Drosophila melanogaster: one gene and its partner. The gene in region 1 interacts genetically with each later gene. Each region holds a gene or a part of one and is shown on either strand. Other genes may lie near its edges.

The links. Genes that interact genetically often act in the same process or in processes that back each other up.
Region 2: of Liprin-gamma (region 1) and Liprin-beta, changing one suppresses a phenotype caused by changing the other (phenotypic suppression), as found in Drosophila melanogaster (one study listed by BioGRID).

What each region holds. Positions count from the first base shown.
Region 1 is NT_033778.4:22,349,201-22,357,861, reverse strand, and holds the start of Liprin-gamma (Liprin-gamma), read left to right. Parts: upstream 1-3,153; 5' UTR 3,154-3,474; intron 3,475-8,661.
Region 2 is NT_037436.4:13,511,705-13,518,840, forward strand, and holds Liprin-beta (Liprin-beta), read left to right. Parts: upstream 1-1,549; 5' UTR 1,550-1,693; exon of another isoform or gene 1,694-1,777; 5' UTR 1,778-1,887; coding exon 1,888-2,088; intron 2,089-2,153; coding exon 2,154-3,097; intron 3,098-3,158; coding exon 3,159-4,056; 3' UTR 4,057-4,572; downstream 4,573-7,136. Other genes in the region: Vps36 (vacuolar protein sorting 36), read right to left, coding at 1-377, 436-1,161, 1,225-1,320; CG10710 (uncharacterized protein), read right to left, coding at 4,825-6,954.

The sequences.
Region 1 (8,661 bases):
AATGAAATGCCTTATCATTTCCATTAAATTGGTTTTAATAGTCAGATTTTTGCTATGTCATGCTTTTCAACAAATCGATCATACCCTTGTACTCAACGAGTAACGGGTATAAAAGAAGGAAATAGTGTAAAGCACAATCCTAGCGAAATTGCGAAATTGCTGCCCTGACCATCCACTCTCTATCTCTGGACATTTACATACTAATTCGATTCATTACTGTCCAGCCAGGGCTGGAATCTTAATTGAGGTAATCAATGCATCTGTAAGCTGATTTAGGTTGAGTGGTTTCTTTGGACCCCAATCGGCTTAAAATTCAATGCATTTTCAATTTGGCATATTCGCATCTGGCCATCCTTGAACTCTGATCGAATTCAATAACAAGAATTGTATAAGAAGTACACGCAAATATTTTGCAATGAGATATTTGCTCATATGCACACACAATGGCCGTGCAGCAACAAAGGCTTCAAAAAGTATTGGGAAAACTTTGGCGACGACTCCCACCCACAGCAGCCCACTGCCTCCACTTCTCCACTTTCCATCTGCTAACTTTTTGCAGTGCCATCTGCGGAAAAGTTTATTGCGATAAATGAAAATAGGAAGCGCACAACGAACAGTTACAACAAGATGTTGAAATAAGTTGTCAAGCCAACGCATCCGGCTGTTTTATGTATTTTCTACTCCCATTTTTTTCCTGCTTTCTGGGCGTGTATAGTTTTCCACTTGTCTGACTGCGGCGGCTGTCGGCGATAAGCGCAAGGCATTGATAAACATCCCCATTCTACGCGGCACCGCAACTCCATTTCTTTCGCAGCACTCCCGTCTCATGTCCTCCCCCCTTTTAGGTGGGGATGGAGTGGATGTCAGGCAGTGACAATGGCTATGCCGTCCCCACAATTGGTTGGCTTGACAAAACGCTGGCCGGGACTTGTAATACACCTCAAAAAAGTAAGGGTGTCCTGTAGTATGGAACATTATCTTTACACCAACATGTAGATGCATTCAAAATGTCTGGAATTTGCTATGATATGTTGAAAGCCCCCACGCTTAGATCTTGATATCATATTATAACGATGCCAGTAGAAATTTAGTTGCTCCTAATGCAATCTTAGATTCTTCTCTCACTGCATCTGGCTCAATTCTTAAGGTTGAGGTCGTCGTAGTTGATTTTCCGCAGCTCTGCAGGCGGCAGGTTGGAAAAGTGGGCAAGGGGAAATGGAAAAGCGGGTAAATGGAGGGTTGCTGGGGGCGGCGACTGTCAGTGGGACACTTGGCTGTCAATGGCAGTTGAGTTACGACAAAAGGGAAGAATTGCATGGCAGAGACGTTTCCTTCGGCTTCCATGGCTTGTGGAATTTTTCACGCGTCACCTGTGGCAGATAGTGCTGCTCCCGCCGCCTCTTCTCGGCGGGAAGTCTTCTGTCTTGACTTTGTCGAGGGAGTCGGAGTTTTGCCATATATCCTAGGCCTTTTCCGATGGAGGAGCCGAGTTGAATGAACTAGCACCGTAATCGATGCGCCTCCGTGTGTGCGTTTGTTCTGCCGCCATTGTTCGGGATATCAGATACACATATCCTGGCACCGATGGCGGCGTCTGCCAGGAGAGCCACAAAAAAGGCAGCAGGATGGGCTCAGCAGCCGCTTGACATTCATTTGATAACATTTTATTAGCATCAGATGATGGCGGTTATCTCATGGCTGCACTTCACATTTCCGCAGGCAGACAGATGGCAACCACAATGATTGTCAGTCAAAATAAAGACAAACAGTGGCCGTGTCCATGAGTTTGCGGATGCGAAGGGTTCGAAGGGTGGGAGGGGTATGGCAGGAGGATGTATATAGGATATATCGGACCGATTCAGTCAGGTGCAAAGCCCTCTACGTGGCTGCGGCTAGTCACGTCTGCCACTTGTGCTTATGAATGACACTACACTCTCTGGCACGGAGCGGTAAAGGGATTTATCCGGTTCAAGTCCTGTGAGCTCAGGATAATGCACTGCAATGGCTCTCATTCGGATTACTCCACCCTTACGCGTTGATATGGCAATCGATTCCGCTTTGAATTGCATAGTTGCGATGCGGGAAAATAGGTTTGTTTATCAAGCCAATCGAAAGGTAGTAATTGAAAGGATTGCAGAAGAGGCAAAAAAATAACACTTTAATATGAAACTCAGTTATGAATCAATGTTTCCAGTTAAATGTAACTGCAAAGCTGAATCAGAAAGCCACTTTTATCACAGCTGTCAGAATTGTTAAGCCCTTTCAAACTCAATTAAACCATTTAGACTTTAAATGAAAATGCCATTTTCGTTACAATCACATTGAGAGAACAATAATATCAATTTTCATAGATGAGGCGATGCGATTTCTTTGGCTGAAATATTTTGCACGTGTTCATTAAATCTTTTCACAATAATTTGAGCATTTGCTGTCGGGATCATATTATACATGTTCAGCTTTGAGTGCAATACTCACATACTTTCGATTCCTTTGTCAATTTTTGCCGCAAATGATAGTGTACAGTCAGATTGTTTTACAATTAGTAGGAAAGCATGCAGACTGCAGTTGTCGTTGGCAACCTCAAAGTGCGCAACATCCCCACATTTACCCACTTCATCCTCATTTATTGTTTTGAGGCTTTTCATATTTTGAAATAGTAACTCCCCGCCTGTCGCAAACAGTTGCAACCACTGACATTTTTGGTCTTGAGATATTTCATTAGAGTAAAATCGGGCTGTGTGGCCCAACCACACAGTCTGTAAATTGTTTCGTCCAAGTTAAATTGCGGGGAAAATGTATTGTGGCGTCCAAACAAAGTACAATTTATATTGCTGATTAATTGAAAACGGAGGTGGTGTCGTTGCGATTCAGAGCCAGAGCTTGACCTTCGTTTTTGGGAGCGGAGGAGCAACAAGGATTCGAAAGGATTCTTGCGGGACGTTCGGATGGAAAACGTAAACAAACACTTGTCCAAGGCAAGGCTAGGTCGGGTTTTCGAGAGATCCCTGGTGGCTATTTCTCCAGCGATTGCGAGCTTTCGCCAATGCGCATGGGCGCTCTTGTATCCTTTTTCCCATCTCGCTGTGCCTAAGCTTTCGTGACGTCACATGGACGCCGCCAAAACGGCACTCGGGCCAAATGCCAAGGACTCGAGCTCAGTGCCATTCGAGTGATTCGCCCAGTGAGACGTTCCAAGCGCCAGAATTGAATTATTCCCCACATATCCTTCGGTCTCGCTCTCGTTCTCTCTTTCTGTCCTGCTCTCTTCGCGGAGAGTGTGTGCTGGTGTGCGTGTGTGTTTCAATCAAAATCAACAAGAGCATAGCCGAAAAAACTTTCAACCAAAGCGTGTCTAACAAATTAGAAAGCCAGAAAAACCAAATAAAAAAAAAACGAAAATAAAAGAACCAACATTGACTTCAACTGTTGGCCACGTGGTATGTGGCCTTCTTGTTTTTTCAGTCAGAATCCGAGGTAAATTTTTCGAAAACAAACAGACAGACACAGCATCGCCGAAAACAAGAAAAACACTGCGGAGAACAATCGAATTTTTGGGGGGGAAAAACCACCGCCAGTAAAATTCGGTCAATATTTGTGCGAGTGTGCGTGGAGTAGGGAAATTTTTTGGAACTTGTGTGTCACTCTGTTTGTTGTTGTTTCTGTGCGCAAATATAAAGGAAAACCAGCGAACAGCCAAATAGGGAAAAATCTGTGTCAGTCGCGAATTACGCACTATCTCATTTGGGAATTTCGGGCCGCTTGGGTTTTGTGAATGAATAATCAAAGTGTTTGCACGCATTTTTAAACCGATTTGCGCCTGTGCAAATCTTTATTAATTTCCGAGTGGTGTTCTTACTAATGACAACATCAGTAATTGCTGCCAGACACGAAAATCATATTTACCTGCACAGAGAGAAAATGCAGAAACCATTTCGTAAACGAAATAGGCTTACTTCTGACATATATCAAAGGAGCTGTGACTGCACTTTTAGTAATAACTTTAACTTGGTAGTGGTATGTTTGGTGGTTTTGAGTTTTTCAAGAAATCAAAGCCATATGGGTCAAAAGTATGCCACCTGGCTGAATAAATCAAAAGGAACCGGCGGAGAACCGCGGGCGGTAAATGTTGCATATTACGTGAGTTTTTACCACGACCATACGTTACGCATACGCCATGTGGGCCCCCTCCGAAGGCAGCAAAGGCTACCAACAGTGCGTCGCGTAATAAATCGCACGACAATAACTCACGGCACCCAGGAAGGGGGTTGAAATGATGATGGGGATTTGGGACAATAGAAGGGGTAAGCAACCAGAATCGGGTCGGGCTGTGACCAGGAAAGTCGCAAACTGAAAGCTATTAAGCCGAAAGACTTAAAGACTTTTGCTACCCACCTCCGGGGACGGTCTACTCCAGCCCCCTCCCCCGCCACAATTTCCCCTCTCGCTTCAAGCCAAACCACGCACACACACACACACACACACACACACATCCGTTTCCTGTGACAAGGAGCAACAACGAAAACTCACTTAGCCATGCTGCCTCAGCCTCTGTGTTCGCCAGACTCACTTGACATGCTCTTAATACCAAATAAAAAACAAGAGCTCAAGGACGCTGAGAAAACACTCCGTTCCACTTTTGCACTGCGAGTAAGGCCAAAACCCCCAACGCCCCGGCCACGCCGTCATGTGTAAATTTTTAATGTTACCAAGACCCCCAAATGTAGGTTATCAAATTGTGTTCAAGTTGTCTTCGCCAAAAGCGCCGTAGAAAAAGTTTTAGCGCTCGCCGTTTCCCCGGTTGGAAAACATTTTAAATGATTTTGTTGTCGGCGGTTGGTTGTTTTTCGTTGTGTTTCCCTTTAGACGCCCCCTGCCAATTGGGTCAAGCATTTACATTTCACGCCTAGCGAAAAACTCAGTCAGAACTATGCTACTTCGTCACGCCCCCATCCTGCACGCCCCACTCACCACGCCCCACCACCATTCGCCGTGTTGTGCAAGCTCTCCAACGTTCGGTAGTGGTGCATCTATTTAGTCAAATTAAAAACACAAATTCAACTCTGCTCTGCCGGCTGCCACTAATTAATTGCAAACTAAATGAGTTTCTCGGCATAAAACTTTATCCACAGCAAAGCTGATTGCTGTCAGTTTTGCGGCCGAAGGAGGAGCAGCATTCTACTGGCGATGTAGATTGCAGCGAAATCGCTTGGCAAAGAACAGGGGCGGAGATTGGTTTATGTGGCTCCCCTTCTCCCCGAGAAGGAGCCCTGGCTCAAATTGTAATTTGTGCAGCTCCCACACATTCCATTCTCGCTCCATTGAAGTTTTCTGGCTGAGAAAGGGGGGCGAAACCATCGAGTCATACAGGAAATTAGGGCTAAAAGCAAGTGTAAAACGGTCAGCGCAGTGAAAACTTTCTAGCCCGAAAAGGGAAAAATATTGGAAAAAATTCTAACTTTCGAGTCGAAAGTTCACAAATATGTGAATGGAAATACTCAGCATTCTATTTAAACTGCATACGTTTAGACACCTATTTAAGTAACTTTATACGTTCATTTTTAATTCAACTAAAATTGCGTTTGAAGGGTTTTTAAAGGAGGTCAATGCAATTTCGCTCTCTGACATTCCCCTCAAGTGAATGGCTGGGTTTAGTCATCATGTTATGAGTCACACAGCAGGATATGTACGGTCAATGAAGTTAGCCTTTCGGAAATAAAGTGTTCGCTTGCAGGTAATCGAATTGAATGCTGGCTAGCAGACGGCATCCAGGCTCAGCCAGCTGAGCCAGCTCAGCGAGTCGAGTTGAGATGGGCAGGACCTTAATGATGGATGTCAGGACGGACAGGATGACCAGTCACTCACTCATTTGGCATTGAGGGCACTGAGCCATTAAATTCCCACTTGGCGTGTGCGGCGGATTGGATTTCGATGGCTGCTCGCGGCGTGAATCTGTTAATTCAACTTATTAATTTTCATTGAATTTCTCCGTTCGCCACTGTCACAGTCACTGTCACTGCCAATGTCAATTGTCACCGAGTTGTGGCGCCCTAGGGCGGGCATTGACATTATGGCACTTTGGGGTGTGCTCGTTGGTCTGTGGTTTGTGCAATCAAGTCGGTTCGAATGGTTTTGCTCAGCACAAAATACTGCATTAATTTGCATGCATTCTGTAGGCCGACATTCAATCGATATGCCAAAACTTATTGGCCATTTGTTCGGCCAATTCATTTAAATCTTTTCCATCTCAAGCCTTTGATTTATTTAGAGCCTGAGCTCCGGCTCATGGAATGATAAATTAATAAATGTGTGCATTGAATCAAAGGCAACGGCAATAAATTTCAAATATTTTACCTCCCATTTTAAGAACGAAAGCCACAGACGCACACACATGGATACTTGGAATCGCCCTTTCAAATGAGCCTGCCTCCGAGTGCTGTCACACTGGAAGAAGTGAAGAATTTAATAGCCAAGCTGCCACTTAAGAAAGCTCCTGGAGAAGATCTTCTTGATAATAGAACCATTAGACTTCTCCCAGATCAAGCATTGCAGTTCCTTGTCTTAATATTCAACAGCGTTCTTGATGTTGGCTACTTTCCGAAAGCTTGGAAATCGGCGAGCATAATTATGATCCATAAGACTGGAAAAACACCGACAGACGTTGACTCGTACAGGCCCATCAGCTTACTCCCATCTCTGGGTAAAATTATGGAGAGGCTGATCCTAAACAGGCTGCTCACATGCAAGGATGTTACCAAAGCGATTCCCAAATTTCAGTTTGGCTTCCGGTTGCAGCACGGTACTCCTGAGCAACTACATAGAGTAGTGAACTTTGCTCTGGAAGCTATGGAAAACAAGGAGTATGCAGTAGGTGCCTTTCTTGATATTCAACAGGCATTTGACAGAGTCTGGCACCCTGGGCTCCTGTACAAAGCGAAGAGGCTGTTCCCGCCGCAGCTATATTTGGTTGTTAAAAGTTTCCTGGAAGAACGCACATTCCACGTCTCTGTTGATGGGTACAAATCATCAATCAAGCCAATTGCAGCTGGAGTTCCTCAAGGAAGCGTTCTTGGCCCAACCCTATACTCAGTTTTTGCTTCGGACATGCCTACTCACACACCAGTCACAGAGGTAGACGAAGAAGATGTGCTCATAGCCACCTACGCTGACGATACTGCTGTGCTCACGAAAAGTAAAAGTATCCTGGCTGCCACTTCTGGTCTACAGGAATACCTGGATGCATTCCAGCAATGGGCTGAGAACTGGAATGTGCGCATCAACGCTGAGAAGTGTGCCAATGTGACGTTCGCCAACCGAACAGGTAGCTGTCCGGGTGTCAGTCTGAATGGGAGACTGATCAGACACCATCAGGCTTATAAATACCTTGGTATTACCCTCGATAGGAAGCTCACCTTCAGCAGGCACATCACAAATATTCAGCAAGCGTTCAGGACCAAGGTTGCTCGGATGTCTTGGCTCATTGCACCACGCAACAAACTGTCGCTTGGCTGCAAGGTCAATATTTACAAGTCCATATTGGCCCCCTGCCTGTTCTACGGCCTGCAGGTATACGGCATTGCTGCGAAGAGTCACCTTAATAAGATCCGGATCTTACAGGCGAAGACCTTAAGAAGAATTTCGGGGGCTCCTTGGTATATGAGAACAAGAGACATCGAACGCGACCTCAAGGTGCCCAAATTAGGAGACAAGCTCCAGAACATCGCCCAAAAATATATGGAAAGGCTTAATGTACACCCCAACAGCCTAGCAAGGAAGCTAGGAACTGCAGCTGTGGACAATGCTGACCCTCGGACTAGAGTCAAAAGAAGACTCAAGCGACACCACCCTCATGACCTCCCTAACCTGGTTTTGACCTAGAAAGTCTTAGTTTTAAAATTCATTAGAATAATCAAATAAATAATAATTACTATGTTATATCAACTATTATAATTCTCCCTATCATTTTTAGGATTAAAAATCTGTTAGTCTTAAGTAACCAAGACACATTGTAAAATAAAATAATTTAAGCAGATCAAATTAAGTTGCCGCATGGGTAACAGTGCGTTGATCAAATAATAAAAACATCATCGTAATCGTAAAAAAAAAAAAAAAAAAAACACACATGGGACCCCAATAAAAACCAATTTATGAAGCATGCTTCTCAGGGCAATTGCCTGCCCCCAAAACACACAGCCCAAGAGCTTAATTGAATGCGAAGGCAACTGCATAAGGAGCGTCACCGGCAGGCCACAAATCAAATAAGTTGGGCGAAAACAGGTCAAGTGCTCAGCCTGAACTTCAAGTTTGATGCTGGGAGCTGCTAACTGGGAGCAAGATGCTTTTGGACAAAGGGAAAGCACTTAGTTGGCCACCAGCAACACGCTCCTTTGACTCATGATTTGAGATGTGTGTGTGTAGCCAAACAAATATATGTATGTACACACGCTCCTGCTGACTTGCAGTTGAGTGCACATAATCGGGATTTGGCTTTCAGGACGAAGAACGAGCGAAAAGGCAGAAAACTCTACGAAATCCTTTCAATTCGCCACCCACTTTCTACTTGACGAGTCCCCCGGGCGGCGGCTAATTTGTTCTGCTTCGACACAAATTGTAACTAATTTTTCGTACTCAACTTTTAGCTTTCATTCCAATGCAAATTGCCGG
Region 2 (7,136 bases), on another chromosome or scaffold:
TAGTCCCGGCCTAGCAGAAGATTTGGATAGAACCGCAGTCCCTCTACGGACTCGTCGCGACACACCTTGCCCAAACGTTCGGCCACTAGCAATCGCTCCTTGGCCAGCAGGAGTGAAATTCCCAGCTGCTTGGCCAGTTCCTCCACAGCCAGAGACTCGGCAGCCTCCACCTTCTCCAATGTGTCAACGGCAATTAGGGCATCATCGTGGGACTCCAGTTGTAGCACTCTAGCGCCACTGGGAAAGCTGCGCAGGCGTATTGGACCACTAAGCTGCTCGCAGGCGTGCAGCAAGTCCTCAGGCGATAGCAGTTCCAGACCACGAGCGCGGTTTACACGACAGTAGACATCAGCCAAGGACATCATGCCACCTTGCTCCTAAGGGGTAATAAAGTAAGTGTCAATACAAAGTATAACTTTTTAATACAGTTCCTACCTCGATAGGATCCAGCAGCATTTCGCAAATCTGTCGGGCCAGGCTACTGAAGTAGGCAGAATTGCTGGTAAAGTTGTCCCGCGTGACGGGATCATCGATGCCCAGGCTCATGAGGTAGGATTTGAAACGCACCGTTTCATCGTCAGATATTTCTCCCTTCTGTTTGCGTATCTTGCTGCTTATTGTCTTGGACACTCCTACCATGTCCTTGGCCATGGCCATTAGAACACTGAGATCCTGAAAGGCAAGTGCTATGTTCTCATCCGTGGCCTTGGCTTTTGCCTCCAAATGCCGTTCGATGCCCCCAATTCCTGTCCTCTTCTGAATGCGGGCCAGCCTGTCGTTGGCAGGCTCCAAGGTTGGACTGCTGGCCACGCCATTGATGATGATCTCGCTGGTCAAGAGGATTTCCCAGACGCGGGCATTTAGAGTCTCCCGCAAGGCACTGTGGAACTCGACACTCAGGCCATTCTTGCCCGACAGTTTGATGTGGGTGGCGCGACTGGTGTCCAGTGGGCCGGGTCCTTTGTCCGACGTTGGAGGATGCAGATGCATGATTATGCGAGTCTTGCGGCCAAAGAAGTTAGAGGCAGTAGTCTCTTCGCTGACGGATATCACATAGCTGAGTGGCAGGCAAAGTGTTACGGCGGCCCGGGCAATCTCTCCAGGGCGACCCCAAAACAGTCGGTGTGTGGTGAGCACCACTTCGCCGTCTTCAAAGTCCGTCTGAAAGGATTTGAGTCTAATAAAGACCCGGTTTCGTATTGTGCGAATTCACTAGCTGCTCACCTTTTGGTCGCCATCGTATATTTTTACCCTGTTGTCGCGGCTGACGAAGGATTCATTGGGACTCAGACGGGCCTCCACATAAGCGAAGCGATTCATTTCAGATATTTGTTATTTTATCCTTAATATTTGTTTTGTTGTGGCTCTGGCTGGAGATGACACATCTTTCGTGACTCCACCGTTCCACCTGCTTATTAGTGATGGTATCTTTTTTGTACAGTAGATATCGGGTATGGAAAACCAAATATAGCTGTACACATCTAGATATATTGCATACTTTGTCCCCAAAAAATGTAATTAAAATGTGTTTAGGCATTTTTATACGTTACTTAAAATTAATTTTGTTTTAAAATTTGTTTTGTAGACTTTAGACCATCTAGCAAACTATCGGATGTTGCTCCTACACACAATTCTGCGTTCGCTGACTATCGATAAGTGGCTGGGCTGGTGTGCGAGAAGAAGAAGCAGAACGGTGCAGCAGCTTCTATTTTCGTGATAGTTTTCCCCAATTAGTGCTGAAATTAATAACCATAAATGCCATTTTCCCCTAAACCAGTGCAAAATGACGTGCCCTGCCTGACCTGCTTACATAACAATGCACTAGTCGCGCAATAAGCACACCACACATCGATCACCCGGGATTAGCGAGACTTTGATTTGGACTTCATGGCGACTGTGGCGGAGGGCAGCAAAATGCTCGAGGCAGCATTACAGCAAATGGACGGCCTTATATCGAGTACCGCGACACAGGCGGGATCCGTTTCTATATCCGGAGCAGGGTCTTCCCTGACACTCAGCGAACGCAACTTAATTTCGGCCACTAATGTTTTGTCAACAGCTAAGACTTTGGCTCTCGCCCTGCAACAGGTGAGTCACACTGACTATGATAAGGTCTAGAAACGGAGGGCTTACACTTACGCTTATCACTTTAGGTCGGACTGGCTGCTCCAGCACCGGATCCTGTCACGGCGGCCATTATCAGCGACTGGCTGGAGACGCACATACCTCGTCAGGATTCCGACGAGCGTATGCGTCGCCTGCAACGGGATAAGGAGGGCTTAGCCCTGCAGTATCAGATGCTGGCGGAACGAGTGTCAGAACAAGCGGACAAGATTATCGAGCTGGAGGGTCTGATAACGGAAAAGAGCCAGCAGTTGTGTACCAAGGAAGAGCAACTGCAACGACAGATGATTTCTAGTTCCGCCCTCGAGACGCAAAAGCTGGAGCTAATGAGTGCCTTAAGTGAACTAAAACTGCACCGTACTGCATTAGAGCAGGCTAACGATGGAGGTAGCGCCATTTCCGCCAATATTCCTTACGGCAGTTTGAGCAACATTAATCAGAAGGCCTTTATGGGATCGCCCAAGACACCGCCCTCTGCACTGCGGCACCAAATCAAACCGCAGTTCCACAGCCTGCCAAGATCGCATGGCAAGTTTGTGAACAACAATAACAATCGTGCCTTAGACGTCAATGCCAACAGCAGCGGCAAGCAGCGAAACGTGGCCTTTGCTTCGAACGAACACATTTTGATTGATGACAATCATCATCAAGCGGAGGATGCAATGACTTCCAGCTTTATGTCGCAGTTTACACCCTCACCAAAGCTGAGGGAAAGATCTGCCCGTGGCTTGCGCAACATACTTGGTAAGCTACGACGCAGCAACAGCAGCAACTGCGAGCTGACCGCCTTGGAGCAGGCAGAGCCCGAGTTTCGACGAGGAGGAGCCCGAGCTACGGCAGGCGGTCGAATTGAGTGGAGTGCTCAGACTCCGTTGTTCGGTGAGAATGAAAAACATTGGACAACCTGGGGAGCGCAGGAGGTGTGCAATTGGTTGGCATACATGGGTCTAGGCTGCTATGAGGACAATTGCCGGTAAGTTTTGTCATCAAAATCCAAGAAGAACCCAGTTACTAAATACAATTTCCGCCTACAGAAAGTGGTTGAATGCCAATCCATCAGTGTCGTTCTTCACCGCCTCGCCTGTCGACATCGAACGAGAGCTAAACCTAAAGATGCCACTTCATCGGAAAAAAATCTTGTTGGCCATCGACGACCTAACTGGGAAGGAGTTTGATGACCTGACACTGAAGGCATCCAGCTTGGATGTGACATGGGTTCTACGCTGGCTGGATGACATCGGCTTGCCACAGTATAAAGATTACTTTATGCAGGCCAAGATTGACGGTCGAATGCTGCATCGTCTCACCCTCGAGGACCTCTCCCAATTGCACGTCAGCTCTTGTTTGCACATAGCCTCCTTGCGAGCGGGAATCTTATGCATGCGCCGCTTATCGTGGAACGCGGAAGGTCTAATTCGACGCTCCATTAAAGTTGTCAGTGAAGATGAAGCCGCAGCCACTCCCGACAGAGACAATGTGGAGCTGTGGACAGCGCATCGCATTATGGGATGGCTGCAGACCATCGACCTGTCTGAATACACGCCCAATCTGCGTGGTGCTGGTGTCCACGGGGCTCTGATGCTTTATGAACCGCGTTTCAATGCTGACTTGCTTGCCGACCTGCTGTCGATACCACCGAGCAAGTCCCTGCTGCGTCGCCACCTGGCCATGCACTTTAAGGAGCTAGTCGGTCGGCCAGTGATCTTGAGTAAGCGAGATGCCGAATCGGCACCCGGGTACCAACCGCTAAGCATTACAGCTAAGCTGAAGCCGGTGAAACGCACACAGTTTTCGTTAAAGCGTCGCAAGAGCTCGAAGAGCCAGAGTGACGTAGACTGGACGGAGTACGTGTGTCCCATGAATGCCAGTGTGCCGGAGACATATCTAGCTGATACGGCTAAGGAGCATGAGAGCTCCATGAGTTCGAACTAAAGACGAAGTCGAAAGGAGCACAAATCGATTGAAAGCAAATATGTTTTTTAGTTGTAAGCCCAAAACCTGGCCAAGGATCCCCAAACTGAATGAACTGCCACCTGAACCAATTATGCAACCAAATCCACAAAATTGACAATATTAGTGAGAATTTATCTTATCAAGGCCACGCCCAAACTTCCAAACATCTTTCGAATGAATTCGAGTCAAAATTCTTTCGTCGACCTAAGCATACCAGCAAACATTTTGGAAATTTTTATATTATCTGTAACTAACATTTAGGCTAATCTGGAAACGGGATGTAATGACATCTTCTAAATAAGCATATAACGATGATAACAAGAAGTATTCGCAATGGCATTGAAACGACCTTGAGAGCGAGCATAACCCCTATAGACTTATCGCCCATTTTGGAGTTTATCTTTTGTACTAACACATAACTGTATTGACGGATATTTTGTAAAATACATACTACGATGCCTTTTACAACCAAACAATATACATTTGCATATGGTTAAACATTGAGTTTATTTGTTAACAATAACATTTTATTAGGCACTAAAAAAACTGATGAACGACTAGGAAGCGTGGCTGAGGATCATTGATCGCGTTGTTGGACAGCCCGCATGGACGGAATCGGCATGGGTTGCTGTTCTCCACCCTCAACTGGCAACCGCAACCGAAGCTGGGCCGGCCATTAGCTGATCTTAAACTTAAATCTTTGGCAGTGCTGTGTGTGGATGTTTCCTGAATGTCCTGGCCGCAGCTCTATGTCGTCTGGTTGGCGGTTTGGGTTTCCAGATTTGGCAGCCTATCCTCCCGCGAGGCATTTTGGTGCTTGGCCAGATCGCTCTCGGGTATGTGATCCTTCCAGTTGCGGAAAAGGTAGCGCGTGAACTTCTTTAGCTGTCTAAATTTGCAATAGGTAGCACCTTCGGCGGATTGAAGCTGCTGGGTTTGGATGAGAAAGCCTTTCTCTTTGAAGGTTTTCTCCAGCTTTTCGCGCTGCTTTGATCGCTTGGAGGATCTTCGCTTACGTTCGCTCTCTGATGAGGACTTACTTTGCGTGTGACCGGGACACACTGCTCCGGGCATGGGACTCTGGGAGCTGGAGCACTGGGAGGCTGGACTATGGGGCGCTACGGCGGCCACCAGATGGTTGCTGCTGGGCAGGAGCAGCGTTGAGGTGGGTGACTCCGGTGATATGTGCAGCAACTCTGGGCTGAGGTCTGTCGATGGAGCTGGAATATCCACGTAGAGCTTCTCCTGTGCCGGCTGCTGGTGTTGCTGCAACTGCTGCTGCTGATCCCGGGAGATGAACTCGTAGCCTCGCATGGTCTTGTCTCCTGTGCCGTTGTAATACCGGTAATTGCCCTCCGCGTCCACCGAGAGCATCTTTTTCTCCTGCAGCGTGGGCTTGGCACCACCGGTGAACTTAAACTTGCAGATGCTCACTTCGTTCGAGGGACTCGACGAATGCTCGGCGGGCATGGGCGGGATAAAGATTGCTGACCGCTTTCGTTTCCGCATGGCCAGGGGCGTGGTCTCATTGGCAAAGAATCCGCTTGGTATCGGAATCTTAAGAGATAGCTGGTTGTCCTTCTCGATGGTCTCCAAGGGCACAGGCAAACCTCCCAGGCTGCAGGACTCGACGAGCTGCTGATAGTACAGTCCAACTGGTTGGAGAAGCAACTTGGCTGCTGTCATAGGCTGTTCCTCCGTCCCTGCCAGCTCCAAGGTCAGAGGTTTTACCGTACTAAGTGGAGTGGTCCGATGCGAGGAGCTGCCGCAATCTGTCGTAGCTGTGGTCGTATTTGGTGTAGTTCGCGGCTTCTCACTGTCGCCGCTGGATATTGAGTAGCGATCGCCGCTCTGGTCACGCAGGCAGAGATTCAGCGGCTCCTCAGGTGGCACCGCAATCGTGGAGGTAGACGGCGGCGGAGCAGCACTGACCGGCATCGCGGGCACAGATGCCGGGACAATGGTGCCGTAGTTCTTGTAGATCAGGTGACAAATATCCGCCTTCTTGGGCTTCCGACCACGACGTGGCTTGTAGTTGTCCAGCGTAATCTCACCCATGTACGGCAGGTCTGCGTATTTTAGGGAGTTCCGCTTGGAGGCAGTTGTTACCTCGGAATTTTTTGTTGGTACCACGGACGTCGCTGCGATGGGTGAAGATCGCGAAGTTGGTGCTCCAACTCGAGGAGCGGCAGACTGCTTTTGTTGCTGGCGTTCGGCATTGCGCTGGATCTCGGCAATCTTCCGCAGCCAACTGCGTACATTCTCGTGAGCCTGACTCGGCGGAGGAGCTGGCGGTGGTAGCACTGGTCTTGGTTGCTGGCGACCCTGCGTGGCCTCGTAATGGGCGGCATACTCGGCGGGCAGAGCTTGGTGGTGAAAGCGAAGCTTCATGGCTCCCGCATCGCCTCGCTTACGTGATCGCTGTTGACCCTGGCTGTGCACTGGCCTAACTGTCTTTTGTGGTAGAGCAGTGTGTGGCTGCTCCTGCGCTGGCTGTCGGTTCGCCTTCCGGCTGCCCATCAGCAGATTGGCCTTCAGCTGCTGCTTGGTCAGTGGACTGCAGGTGCCATTGTGTGGGGTTTCGTGGCCGGCACTTTTGCGGGCCAGTAGCGTCTTGAAGGGATGGTCTTCGTCGTGGGCATCGTTGGTGGCGCCATGCGAGATCAATGGGTCGTCGGAGCCCTGCAGCAGCAGACGGGTGCTGTTCAGATCCAGACGGAGTTGTGGGTGCTCGGGCGTGGGCAGCCAGCACTCCAAGTCGGGATCGTGCTCCAGCTTTATGCTGGGTAGGAGCTGGTCCAGATTGTTGGTAGCCGGACCCAACTCTCCCTTGTCTGCGTTTCCGTTAAGATCGCAGATCCTAGTAAGTTCTTGCATGCTGATCTTGATTTCGGCTAAAAAAAAGTAAGAGAAAGATAGTTTTATTATTATTTATATAATCTTCCAATTTATATGCTTTTAAATTAATATAAAACTTTTCATATTTACATCACTTATTACAAAGACTTGTTTTCATACAGTTTCGAAATTCAAACTAGACAACACATTGCGTATACGAA